Caenorhabditis elegans: one gene and its partner. The protein of the gene in region 1 purifies or fractionates together with the protein of each later gene. This does not show direct contact. Each region holds a gene or a part of one and is shown on either strand. Other genes may lie near its edges. The genes, in order: gcy-9 and fbxb-78.

Region 1 (8,078 bases):
GAACGACAAAAGTGCATTGTAATGAAAAAGAGAATGCGAGGAAAACTAATGGAGGCGTGCCGAATCGGTGTAGTCGACCTGTCCGTTTTTGTGTGTGTCTGAGCGCGCTTAGTGTGTGTGGCTGTATTGAATGTGAGAGCGTTTTGTGTATGTTGTGTATGTGTGTGTGTGTGCCAAGGTCGGTCGAAGATAGTCATCTTTCATATCAGCTAGGACGAAATTGCGTCGTTGTCCAGTGTTTCTAGAAGGCTAATGTCGAGAAAAAAGGCGGCGAGAAAAAACGATACCATCTCAGAACTCAAGAAACAGTCAAAAAAGGTAAATGTGCACAGTGAAATAGTGTGCGGTGGGAAGAGAAGAAGAGGGCCGATCTGCATACACGTTGCGTACTTGACCCAAGAGGTTACGACAATGTTGCAGTGTGGTTTTTTTGAGAATTGAAACAATGCGCTCTCAGACATATTGAGAGATAAAAAGAAAATTCAGAGATTTGTGTCCGATATTTTTTATCTTTTGTTATCATTGATATCAGATCATTTAAAAAAGATTATCAAGTGGGAGAACTTTGCACAGATTGATGGTGAGGTGGAAATTCCTTTGGGAAACTGAAGAGCAAAAATTCGTTTTATTTTTCAAAAAAAAAAACATTTGAAAAAATGCAATCGAATCCATGCTATAACTAAACTAATACACTAGAATCTAGAATCACTAGAATCTGTAGTTCACAAAATTCATAGAGTACGGAATTTCTGTTAGCGTGACTAAAATTTACTAAGTTAAAAAAACAGAAGATGTTTGAGCACAAGCTGGTTGGTTTTTTGATTGATATTTTTGTTTCATATGTCTCTGTTCTTCATGATAATTTACTATATATAATATAAAGCGCTTATTCTGTGTGTCCATAGTTTGTAGTCTATGTAGTCTTTGTAGTCTGTGAAGTTTTGACTTCTGGAGGGATAGTGAGTTGGGGTTAGTGTAGGGATATAGTCGGGGTACTGTAGTGGTACAATAGTGGTACGGTAGGAATACTGTAGGGTTACGGTAGTTTCATAAAAATTGATTTTCAGCCCTAGAAGTCGGGGGCCGCGCCGAAGGTGCGGACCACGGCTGGTTCATAATATTACAATTACCGTTTTTCATAGTTTACCGCGTATCATTGTATAACCATGTTTTATTCAGAAAGACTTTGCATATATATTTTTATTTGATCCCAAGTTGAGATTCATAGAAACGTATTTTATTAAAATTGGTCTCACAATCATTCCCCGTATTACCTCTAGTAGCCTTTTAAGTTGTAAAAAGCAAGACAAGTGCTAACATGTGTAAACGTTTTGAACAAGTCTAGGTTTATTTTTTCAGGAATTGAAGAATTATCTGAAAATTCTACAAGGTACGCCTTGTCTTGTCCCGAATTATTGAAATACTGATTGAAGTTCTAATATTAGGATGACTCTTAGAAATGCAAGAAAATTACACACTGTATAACTAATAGGGAGTACACTTGGTAAATGAATAACACTGTTAAAAATTCTGAAAACTACCAAAAAAAAAACTCGGCTTGTTTTTTTAAAAGTATTTTCGTGTGTTTCGATGATGTTGCATTAGACAGTGTCATAGTTCTACGCTGAGATCCTATTAATGTATTCACAACAACCTAGTCATCAGTGTACATCAGAAAAACGTAGGATTCGACGCTTGTTGTGACACACACTTGCCTTCTTTCCATTAAACCCCATCTATCCACTTCCGATGGGCCCTTCCGGCATGATAAGAAGTGAGTGGCTACATAAGACTTCACACCTCCTTCGGAGATTCATCAATCCAACTACTCCGAATTTTTTACATTTTACTTCTACATATATTGGAATTCGTTCCATCAACACATTCCTGTAAAAAATATATAAGAATTGTTACTGTTTGCGGGATAAATGCCCCTCATATGAGATGATAAATGCGTTTATATTTATTTTTCATTTCTTCTTTGCTACTTGCGGAGTCAAGAAGATCTATCAGTAAAATCAGTCATGACGAAATCAATCAACATGTGAAAACTACACTTAGTTGTGAGCAATCTTTTTCATAAAATACATATAAAACAATTATTGTTTTGTTTCAGCAGAAGGGATTGTTCGAATAGGTCACCTTCACCCCACGAACCCTATTATAGCACACGAACCAGATGTTCTAAAAATGTGCGCAGACGATTTGAAAATGAGAAATATTCTTCCACAAAATTATACTTTAACGTAAGAAGTTTGAATTTAAAAAAAACAAGTCTTTCCAATTTTAGTGTTTTTACAATGGAAAGTTGCAACAAGTATTCGGGAGTTGAACATGCTGCTTTCCTTCATTATTTGAAAAATGCTTCAGTGTATTTTGGACCCGGTTGTAATAATGGTAATGCTTTTGAGAATGTTCAAGTTATTTAGTAATTCTTTTTTCTCAGAAATGTTGGTTATTGGAAGACTCGCGCCTAGGTGGAACGTTCCAATAATTGCTCATATGTCTGGAGATGACGCTCTTTCTGATCGTGTCCAATTTCCCACACTCGGTTCAGTTGCACTGACATCTGCAAGTGAAATGGCAAAGGCGACTGTAACATATTTAAATCTGAACAATTGGGACCAGGTAGGACGTTTGACAATAAACAATTACTTGTTTGCTCCAATATTCCATATTTTCATTGCTTGACTTAAGTACTCATCAGGATTCTAATAGGTTTTTCATTAGCAATAATGTAGTTTTTTGAAACTTATCATAATTAAACTGTCTATTTCATTTTATTACAGTAAATATTCTCCTGTGAAACGATTCCTGGGGAATATTTCAAAAATATTAACTGACCACTGTCTTCTTTTAATTGTCCGCAGTTCTGAGTTTTTTACATTGTATATTGCAAATTGCGGTGGATGAAACGTGATTGTTTCTATAAATAAAAAACAAACGATGGGAATCCGTTCAAAATCAAATTAAAATATGTTTTTCGACCTTTATGTTTTTTATTTTGACTTTTGGACATGAGTCATTTTATCAATACTTTTTAAATGATCAAAAACGAAAGATTTAAGTCGATTATTTTTATGTTTGACGGAGCATGATTTCGTGCCTAAATTCCCCCCACAAGTGACTAAATACCGGATGTAGTCATTGGCCGTCCAACAAAATATATTAATATATATTTGTATATAAGCAGATACGACGCATCAGATCTGCCCGGAGCAATCGGTGGGGACTCCAAAATGGATTGGAGGATTATAGACTAATCCGTTATTAGTCGCCTTTTTTATAGACACCTCCGCCTTCTATTCCCCGGATGTAGCAATATGCAGTTCTAGAATTACGACAGATAACGTTTTCAGATTGGAATTGTACGACCAAGTGTCGGGTACGAGCGGCTTTCTGTATACTCTTTGCAACATCAAATCAAAAAAAGAGACATCAATCTTAATGTCATCCTGGATATTGAGCCGTTCAGTTCTCCAGAAGAAATTATTTCCACCGGAAAGCTAACAACACTTAAAAGCATGGCAAGAAGTAAGTTTTTTTAACCGTTTGTTGATGTTCTCGTCATAAAATTTTTTCCAGTAATCGTGGTAGAGCTTGGAATGGATATTCACTCAGTCACAAACTTTATGTTGGCAATACACAGATCTGAAATCAAAAATGAGGAGTTTGTGTTTGTAATCCCTTGGTTAGCTCATGTAAGTTTATAAAAATACCACAAAACCCGGAACAACACCAGACATCCTTCAGCAAAACGATCATTATCCTTGGGAAGCGGCTAACGTGGACAAACAAGAAGTGAAACTTGCTTTTGAGAACACAATCATTATCACTGCTCATGGTTACGATAAAAAGTTTTTTGATGATTTCCAGATGAAATTCAGTGCTGTCACAGGAGTCCTTGCAAATCATGTATTTTTCTTTCTTTTTTTCTTAATGTAGAGATCAGAATTACAGTATGCGACATTATCATATATGTCTCTTTATGATGCTTTATTTCTTTATGGATTGGCCCTTCGAGATGCATTTGAAGATGGTGGGGGTTACAATGTTCACATGAATGGATCGTTAATATGGTCAAGAATGACGAATCGGCAGTTTATTGGTTAGTCGAGTTTAATCATTTGGTTTTATAATGCTTGTATTAACAGGTATGACTGGTCAAGTTTTAATGAACAATAAGGCAATTCGAGTACCTTCATATGCTACTTATCACGCTATCAATGGAACTCTCAAAGTACTTAGTTCTGTCAATAATATTTAACTATTACTGAACATTTTTAGATTGTTGTGGAACTTGAGGCTAAAAATAATGATCGTGGACAATGTGAAAAAAATGAGGAAATGTGCTCCGAGCATGTAAAGCATACGGACTACTGAAATAAAATGAAATAATCATGTTTAGGTTGCACACGAAACAATACAATATTATTGGCCATCCGATAGTGGAAAGCTACCGCCGGCAGTGCCGAAATGTGGATTTACGGGCGCAGAATGTGATTACAGACCGTATTTCATTGGAGCTAGTTTACTTGCCTTCATTTTAACTGTCGGACCACTGTCTTACTTTATTTATTTGAAACAGTAAGTAAAATTTAACATCAGAATTTAATATGATTTGCAAATCTTCAGAAAGGAACGATTACTGTATGATATGACATGGCGAATACCCAGAGAGTCGATTAAAATGCTAGAAGGAAAATCGGTATATTTGATTTTAATTTTAAGTGTATCCTTAATTTTCTATTATAGAAATCCGAACACTCTCTGGCTAGTAAATCACAAAGTTCTGGCTCTTTCTCGGGAAGTATGAATTCAAAACAAAACGGACTGATAGCTGCCAAACAAGCGGTGTCTAACGGTGTAAAACTTGCGATTAAGGTATATATTCTCATATACCATTCAGTGATATTATTTTTCACTTCAGCGCTATCAACAAGTACGCAATATTACTTTCCCAAAATCAGAACTTAGACTGTTGAAGGAACTGAAGATTTGTGAAAATGACAATCTAAATAAGTTTTATGGAATATCGTTCAATCAGCAAAATGAGTTTATTGTCATGTGGGTTCTGTGTTCTCGTGGAAGTTTAGAAGACATTCTTTTTAACGACGAATTGAAGCTAGGAAGGAATTTTCAAGTGTCGTTTGCCAAGGATGTTGTCAAGGTGTTGCTTGCCTTTGTTTTCAAATAACGTCTTTTGAAATCTTTCAGGGACTCAATTTTTTGCATACATCTCCACTTTTGCACCATGGCATGCTTTGTTTACAAAACTGCCTTGTTGACTCAAATTGGACCGTGAAGCTTACTAATTTTGCTACTGAGGCTGTTATTTTTGAAAAGCTGGATCATAATGAGCTGCGCCCTTTTATCAATACAGATAGCGAATCAGCAGATGATGTGTCTGATCCTACAAAGGATTTTGCAAGAAAAAGTTTGCAAGAATTTAGTTTGCACTAATCTAAAATTACATTCAGAATATCTTCAACAAGCCCCAGAAATAATCCGTGAAATCGTGACAACTAAGACTATTCCCGAAGGATCTCAAAGTGCAGATATATATGCACTCGGAATGGTACTTTATCAGATACTTTTCCGTGTAGAACCATTCCATGAAAGAAACAAAAGCATTAATAGTAAGTAAAACAATTGTTCAAATGAAATACTGCAATTTCAGAACTGATGGAGACTTTGGCAATGGCAAATGATGATGATCAATTGATTCGACCAACTTTCCCATCATCCAATACTGGTGAAGGTTATAATTTGCAGGTTATTATTGAAATTGCTTTTTCTTAAATCGTGAAAATAATTTCAGTTACTTTCGTGTATTGAAGCTTGTTGGCTGGAAATTCCTGAAATGAGACCACCGATTAAGAAAGTTCGGACGATGGTCAATGCTAACTTGAAATCAACGTAAGTTTTAATAAGTTTTTGATCTAAGTGTTGATTTTTGTTTGCAGAGGAAAAGGTTCTCTAGTAGATCAAATGATGAAAATGATGGAAGAATATACGGCAAATTTGGAAAACATGGTTCGAGATCGTACTGCACTCCTGGAAGAAGCTCAAAAACAAGCAGATCGTCTTCTCAACAGTATGCTTCCAAAGTATGATACCACTTTTTTTTCATAATTTGTGTATTGCACCGACTACTGATATTCTCTGATACTCCGCATGCTGAGCACGGACTATGCATATTGCCGCCTACAGAAGCATAGATTTCCACAAACCATTCGAGGTGTTTGTGCAAATCTTTCGCGACTGTAGGCGGCGAACATGCAGTTTTTTCGCACTTGGTCTGTCCTTACTGTATTGTATGTATATATTTTCAAAAATCTTTTGAAACGTTGGAACATACTTTTAGATCAATTGCGGAAGATCTTAAAATTGGAAAGCCAGTGCTTCCGCAACTATATAGTTGTGCGACTGTTTTGTTTTCGGATATTCGTGGATTCACCAGAATTTCTTCAACATCTACACCACTTCAGGTTTGCAAGCTCAGACAAAAGATTATAGTAATTCTTCATAAAAATTCAATAAATTTTAACTTGTACCTAGACAACATTTATAATGATTTATTTTAGAATTTAAACATTTACATGGATTCAGGATCCCTTTCTAACACAATTTTTTTTAGGTTGTAACGTTTCTAAATGACATGTTCAGTGGATTCGATGCTATTATTGCAAAACACGATGCATACAAAGTCGAAACAATTGGTGACGCTTACATGATTGTATCAGGAGTTCCCACAGAGAATGGAAATAGCCACGCTCAAAATATTGCTGATGTCGCTTTGAAAATGAGAGCGGTAAATTAAACATTTGCCACCTTGCAAAGATTACCATAACATTTCAGTTTATCTGTAACTTCAAACTTGCTCACCGCCCTGAAGAGCTCATGATGGTGAGGATTGGCTTTCATAGTGGTCCAGTTGCCGCTGGAGTTGTTGGTCTTGCCGCTCCACGTTACTGCCTTTTCGGGGACACTGTTAACACTGCATCTAGAATGGAAAGCACCGGAGTGGCTAATAAAATTCAGGTTGGAATTAATATTAGTCACTAATGTTTGTTGAATTTATAGATATCCGAGGGAGCATACAACCTTCTTCATTGCTTCTTTCCTCAATTCCAAATGGTTGAGAGAGGAAAAATTGAAGTAAAAGTAAGCGAAAAATCAGAAAAAAAAGCAACAATTATTTATAACTACAGGGAAAAGGAGAGTGTCTGACATATTACCTTGAAGGAAGAACCGGCAAACAATGAGATTGATTTGGATTCAAAGATTTCATTTCGGATAAACCAATATTTTTCAAATTCTATGAGCTCAAGAATTACCGAATATATAGAACATTTATCAAATTCATTAATTATTTATCTTTAGATTCTAGCCATTTCACATTCTACACTTACCAAACCCAAAATTATTTTCTTGGTCAATTTTCTGATAGATTCATTTTTTGCATTACTCTAAATTTGCTATACTTTAGATATGAAATGTGTTTCCAATTTGGTTCACTCTATTATGTATCTCATTTTGCAAATTCTCGGAGTACATTTGAAACAATTTTATATAGCGTCCCATTTTTACAACATTCAGAAATATAGCTCACATTTTTGAAATCAGTAAAATTAAAGCAGAATGTTCCCGAATTTTATTTATTCTGAAAGCAAAAAGGAAAGCTATAAATAAACATTTTTCAGTTGCAACGTTAAAACGCGGCAAGCAGGAAATAATCGAATAAATTAGAAGAAACACACAAAGAGCATCGTATCACAGACCTGAAAAATGATTTTTTAAGAGGAAAATTTGAGCAATATTTAAAAAAACTTGGCGTTATCAAAACTCGATTGTTTAAAAATTGACTACTATACTTGCGGCCAAACTCACTCAGTAATTCTGTTTCCCGTGAAAAAAAAACAATCAAACAAGTTGCCTGTGTTCATAAATTATAGCTTCGGGTTGATTTGCTTCTCCCTATCTGCAATTAGTTGTAGAAGAGTTGTTTGCGGTCGTGAATAACCTACATTCTTTGTTTTCTTCGCTTGAATTGACGTCCGAAGTGGTTGTACAGA
Region 2 (4,042 bases), on another chromosome or scaffold:
CTATTTTTGAAACATTGGATTCACGGATCCAACAAGAGAATGGAATATTTTGATGTGTGTTTCCGAGTTGTTAGGTTTAATGATGATGTTCTCAAAGTTCTCTTCAAGAACCTGGATTACTGTATTGCACCTGTGGAAAGAGAATTATTGGTTCAACCACCTGGAGAAAAGGAACAAATTGTCAAAGGAGGATATGATGTGAGACGAATGGATGGAACAGTAGCAACTATTATTGTAGATCACATTCAATCACTGTTGAAAATGTTTGTGCGCGGTTAACTTGTTATTTGTATAATTTTGCTTGTATTTGTTAAATTTGGAGTACTTTAGTAAATAAAGAATATATAATAACAATAATCATAATTTATTATGTTCTTGAAGAAGCGTGAAAAGAAAAGAAAGTTGATACATACATACAAAGTTTCGTGGTCAGAGGGTAGACTGGGAGATTGTGGGCATAGTCAGAGAGCATAAGAAAGAATTGGATCAAAGAACAGGATAAATAATAGATCGTAGGGATTGAATTTTAATGATCAAGAGTAGATGTCGCTCATTTCCTAGCATAGTTATCCTTGTTTAATTTGGATACAAATTTTTTTGAATGATGGTTGACTTAACGTTTCCTAATTTTAGATTTACATCTGCTCCAAGAGAACTTATTTTTATAATGCGTTCTAGTGTTGTCCGAGAATGTAAAAAATACAGGTACTTTCAGATATATTTTACCGTTTAACATTTTCAAAATAATTTTTTTATCGGTGTTCAGGCGTCGTTCTTGCAGCGTTGTGATAACAAATAATTCATTTCTTTCGGTCGAGGCTTTATATTCCGAAACACTTATTGTACAAATACGCGTATATTACTTGATAATCATTTCTGTGTTTTGAAAAGTGAATAAAATGTGTCCCAGAGGAACATGGTTAAATACAATTTTAGTTCGACCCCTTTTCTCGATTTTAATCAATACATTTCTGTGATAGCATTGAGAAGGAGAACACCAATATTTCAATCTGCTATAGAGTTTCGAGTCGGTACAAATATTTTCTAAGATGTGTACAACATTTGGAAGCGGGTGTTCCCTGAATTTTTGTAAAAAAAATTAGAGACTCTGTAGTTTTTTATATCAAACAGTTTCCCTCCCAACCCCGATTGAAACCATCACAGTGACTTTGGTATTTTCCTTTCTCAGAAAATCGATTCTCAAGTATTCTCAAGATTCTCAAGCAGTATGTTGTTGTATTTTTATTGACATCAATTGATTACATGGTATGGGGTAATTGGTTTTTTGAGGGATTCCAGCATACAAAACATGACAGATGTGTTAGCTAATAGAGAGGATTATGAGCCATGAGACCTAGAGACAAGAAAATGTTGGGCTAATATTGACTAGTCCTCATTTGAATAGCAGCAGATATCCCTTTTTCAATTATACATGCATATTTTCAATTGAAATTTCAACAAAAAATCATTTAAAACATTAAAAATTGTGTTTTGACGTTGATAAAATATTTGTATGAATTTTCAGACAATTTTTCATAACTAAATCAATATTGTCAGACTAACGATCAAATTGTACCTAATAGAAAAGTTGTCGAAATTGAACTTCAACTACTAACAGTTTTTGATATGTTCCATGAAACAAAAGTTCGAAATTTTTCAAAATATTTCTCAAAACTTTGAACAGACGTAATAATTGTTGAATTTTTAGAGAAGTTTAATTAAGTTTTTTCGGCATTTTACATGATTCAATCACTTGCATTTGTTTTGATAATTCTCTTGAGAATGAGTTGCTACTCATAATTATTGATAACTGAGTTGTACGAGAAAACTTTTTTAATGCATTCTGAAGTAGGAATCTAATCAGATCTAGTGCATACATGGAGAAAGACTGTTAAACTGTTCTAACATGTGCGTGTCTCTGCACGCTTTAGACAAAGAAAAATATGTATAATATCTCTAAGATGAGAATTAGAGAATTGGGGAAGGGGGGTCAACTGGACAGGACCACCCAATCTCTCCATCTGCTCATTCTTCATTTGTGGCCATGGTCGACGACGTATCTGTTCCTTTCCAACTGCTCAAATTACCTCAAAAATCGAGTAACTACGTGTTTCACAGAATGCTTGTAGCAGATTTGTAAGTAAAACATATTTTTTCCAATGTTAACTCAAATTATTTTTGATCAAATATCACTCAATCACATCTCAATCAATCACACAAAATATCACAAAAAATACCACTAGTGGAATTTTATTAGATAATTATTGATTTCCTATCACTCAACCTGAACAATGTTTTTTTACAGAATAGGATTCTCACTCACATCTAAAAATGCAAAGCTACAAACAAAACGCCTAGGTCTGAAAGCCGAGGATGTCCATCTTGAAATACGTTCTGGCATAATAATTCATATTTCCCTTCAACATACTTTCACGTATTTTAAATTCTACACTAACGAATACCGAACCTCAGAGCATCGTCTTGAAGAAGAGTGCATTAATATGTATCTCTGTACTCGATTGGGTGAATGGAAGACACCTATATTTCGAGTGAGACAGTTTTTGGATCACGTTCTTGATATATTTCATGTAACAAACATTAGTGAACTAGAGATTACAACCGATCATTTTGAAACTACAATCTATGATAGTTTTGATAAACTGGAAATAGAATCTTTCTCCATGTATCATATCGATCTGAATAGATTGTCACTTCAGTATGCATTGAAAAAGTTTTCTCGTAAAGCTAATCAGTTATCAATTTTAATGAGTCGCAACCCATTCACAGCAGAAACATCTAAACAATTGCAAGTGGTTTTAACACGTAACATGGACCATATTGTTCTATATCACCCTATCAAATATGATCTGAACGATTTATTCGTTACTAATACTTATTCACTCATGGTTGACATGAAAATTGAAGATGTTAATATGTTCTTAAAACACTGGATTCACGGACTCGACAGAAAGTTAGAACTAGCTTGCTTTGGCTACAAAGAACTCCAATTGAAAAATGAAGCAGTTGTTGAAATACTCTTCAAAAATGTGGATTATCAAGTTGCACCAGCGGAAAGAGAATTGACAATTCATCCTACCGGATCCCAGCAGATATGTGTCAAAGGTGGTTATGATGTTAGACGAGTCGATGGAACAGAGGAAAATATTACTGTCAATAGTCAGCGAAGTTTGATTGATATGGTATTTTGGAGTTAAATTATCATTCGGTTTTTAATTAATACTAAATATGTATACTTGATTAATTATTTTAATAATTGTATTTAATACTTTAATATATATGCATATGCATTTTCAAACTGACAATGAATAAATATATTAAATTTCTACTTTAAAGTGTTCAATTTTAAGAATGTCTGACTAAAATTCCGGGTTCACTTTTTGAATCAGTTCATTTTTTCTGCTATTGCGCCACAAACGTTCAAAGGAATATTCTCTATCCACTTGAATTTATCAAGATTATGAAAATTTACACTTCTTGGGCGGAAAAAAGTTTTGACGCACATAATACGGAAACGCCGAAAAATTCCCCTATTAAACACGAACGCCGTGATCCACGGCCAATTGAAAACGTCCCGCCTTTCAACTTGTTAGGTATTGGCGGGTAAACTAGGAATTCAAACGCTTTCATTTTTCTGAACGGTTTCAATCGTTAAAACTGATAACATAAAATTGATAATAAAATTTAAAAAGCAGTAGAATTCCCTTTTTCAATATCACATGCATTTTTTTTAAACAAAATAATCATTTAAAACAATTTTCAAAAAAGTCGAAAACCGCCTGTATATTTGGTTTTACCGCTAAATACCTAACGAGACCCAACGGTTGGGGTAGTCGTTTTATTTGGAGCGCGATTGCGCCTCAATTTCAAAGAGATCAGTTTTGTGCGTCCCCAATAGAACACTTGTAATTGTAACTTCACATATTGTTCTTCTGAAAAAAAGAAGCTTAATAGTACCATATAAATTTTTATTGCTGGAACCAAAAATTTTTTGTTCCAAAACTTTCCGAGAAAAAAACCTTGA

The links.
Region 2: the proteins of gcy-9 (region 1) and fbxb-78 fractionate together in Caenorhabditis elegans (co-fractionation; one large-scale study listed by BioGRID). This does not show direct contact.

What each region holds. Positions count from the first base shown.
Region 1 is NC_003284.9:11,331,743-11,339,820, reverse strand, and holds gcy-9 (Receptor-type guanylate cyclase gcy-9), read left to right. Parts: upstream 1-1,937; 5' UTR 1,938-1,951; coding exon 1,952-2,063; intron 2,064-2,116; coding exon 2,117-2,246; intron 2,247-2,290; coding exon 2,291-2,397; intron 2,398-2,446; coding exon 2,447-2,628; intron 2,629-3,359; coding exon 3,360-3,534; intron 3,535-3,585; coding exon 3,586-3,701; intron 3,702-3,753; coding exon 3,754-3,915; intron 3,916-3,960; coding exon 3,961-4,108; intron 4,109-4,154; coding exon 4,155-4,240; intron 4,241-4,287; coding exon 4,288-4,362; intron 4,363-4,408; coding exon 4,409-4,587; intron 4,588-4,635; coding exon 4,636-4,708; intron 4,709-4,755; coding exon 4,756-4,884; intron 4,885-4,930; coding exon 4,931-5,170; intron 5,171-5,217; coding exon 5,218-5,437; intron 5,438-5,480; coding exon 5,481-5,639; intron 5,640-5,680; coding exon 5,681-5,775; intron 5,776-5,821; coding exon 5,822-5,919; intron 5,920-5,966; coding exon 5,967-6,110; intron 6,111-6,190; and 13 more. Other genes in the region: Galanin-like G-protein coupled receptor npr-9, read right to left, coding at 7,946-7,984, 8,031-8,078.
Region 2 is NC_003282.8:4,735,520-4,739,561, forward strand, and holds fbxb-78 (F-box associated domain-containing protein), read left to right. Parts: upstream 1-2,038; 5' UTR 2,039-2,044; coding exon 2,045-2,136; intron 2,137-2,305; coding exon 2,306-3,215; 3' UTR 3,216-3,343; downstream 3,344-4,042.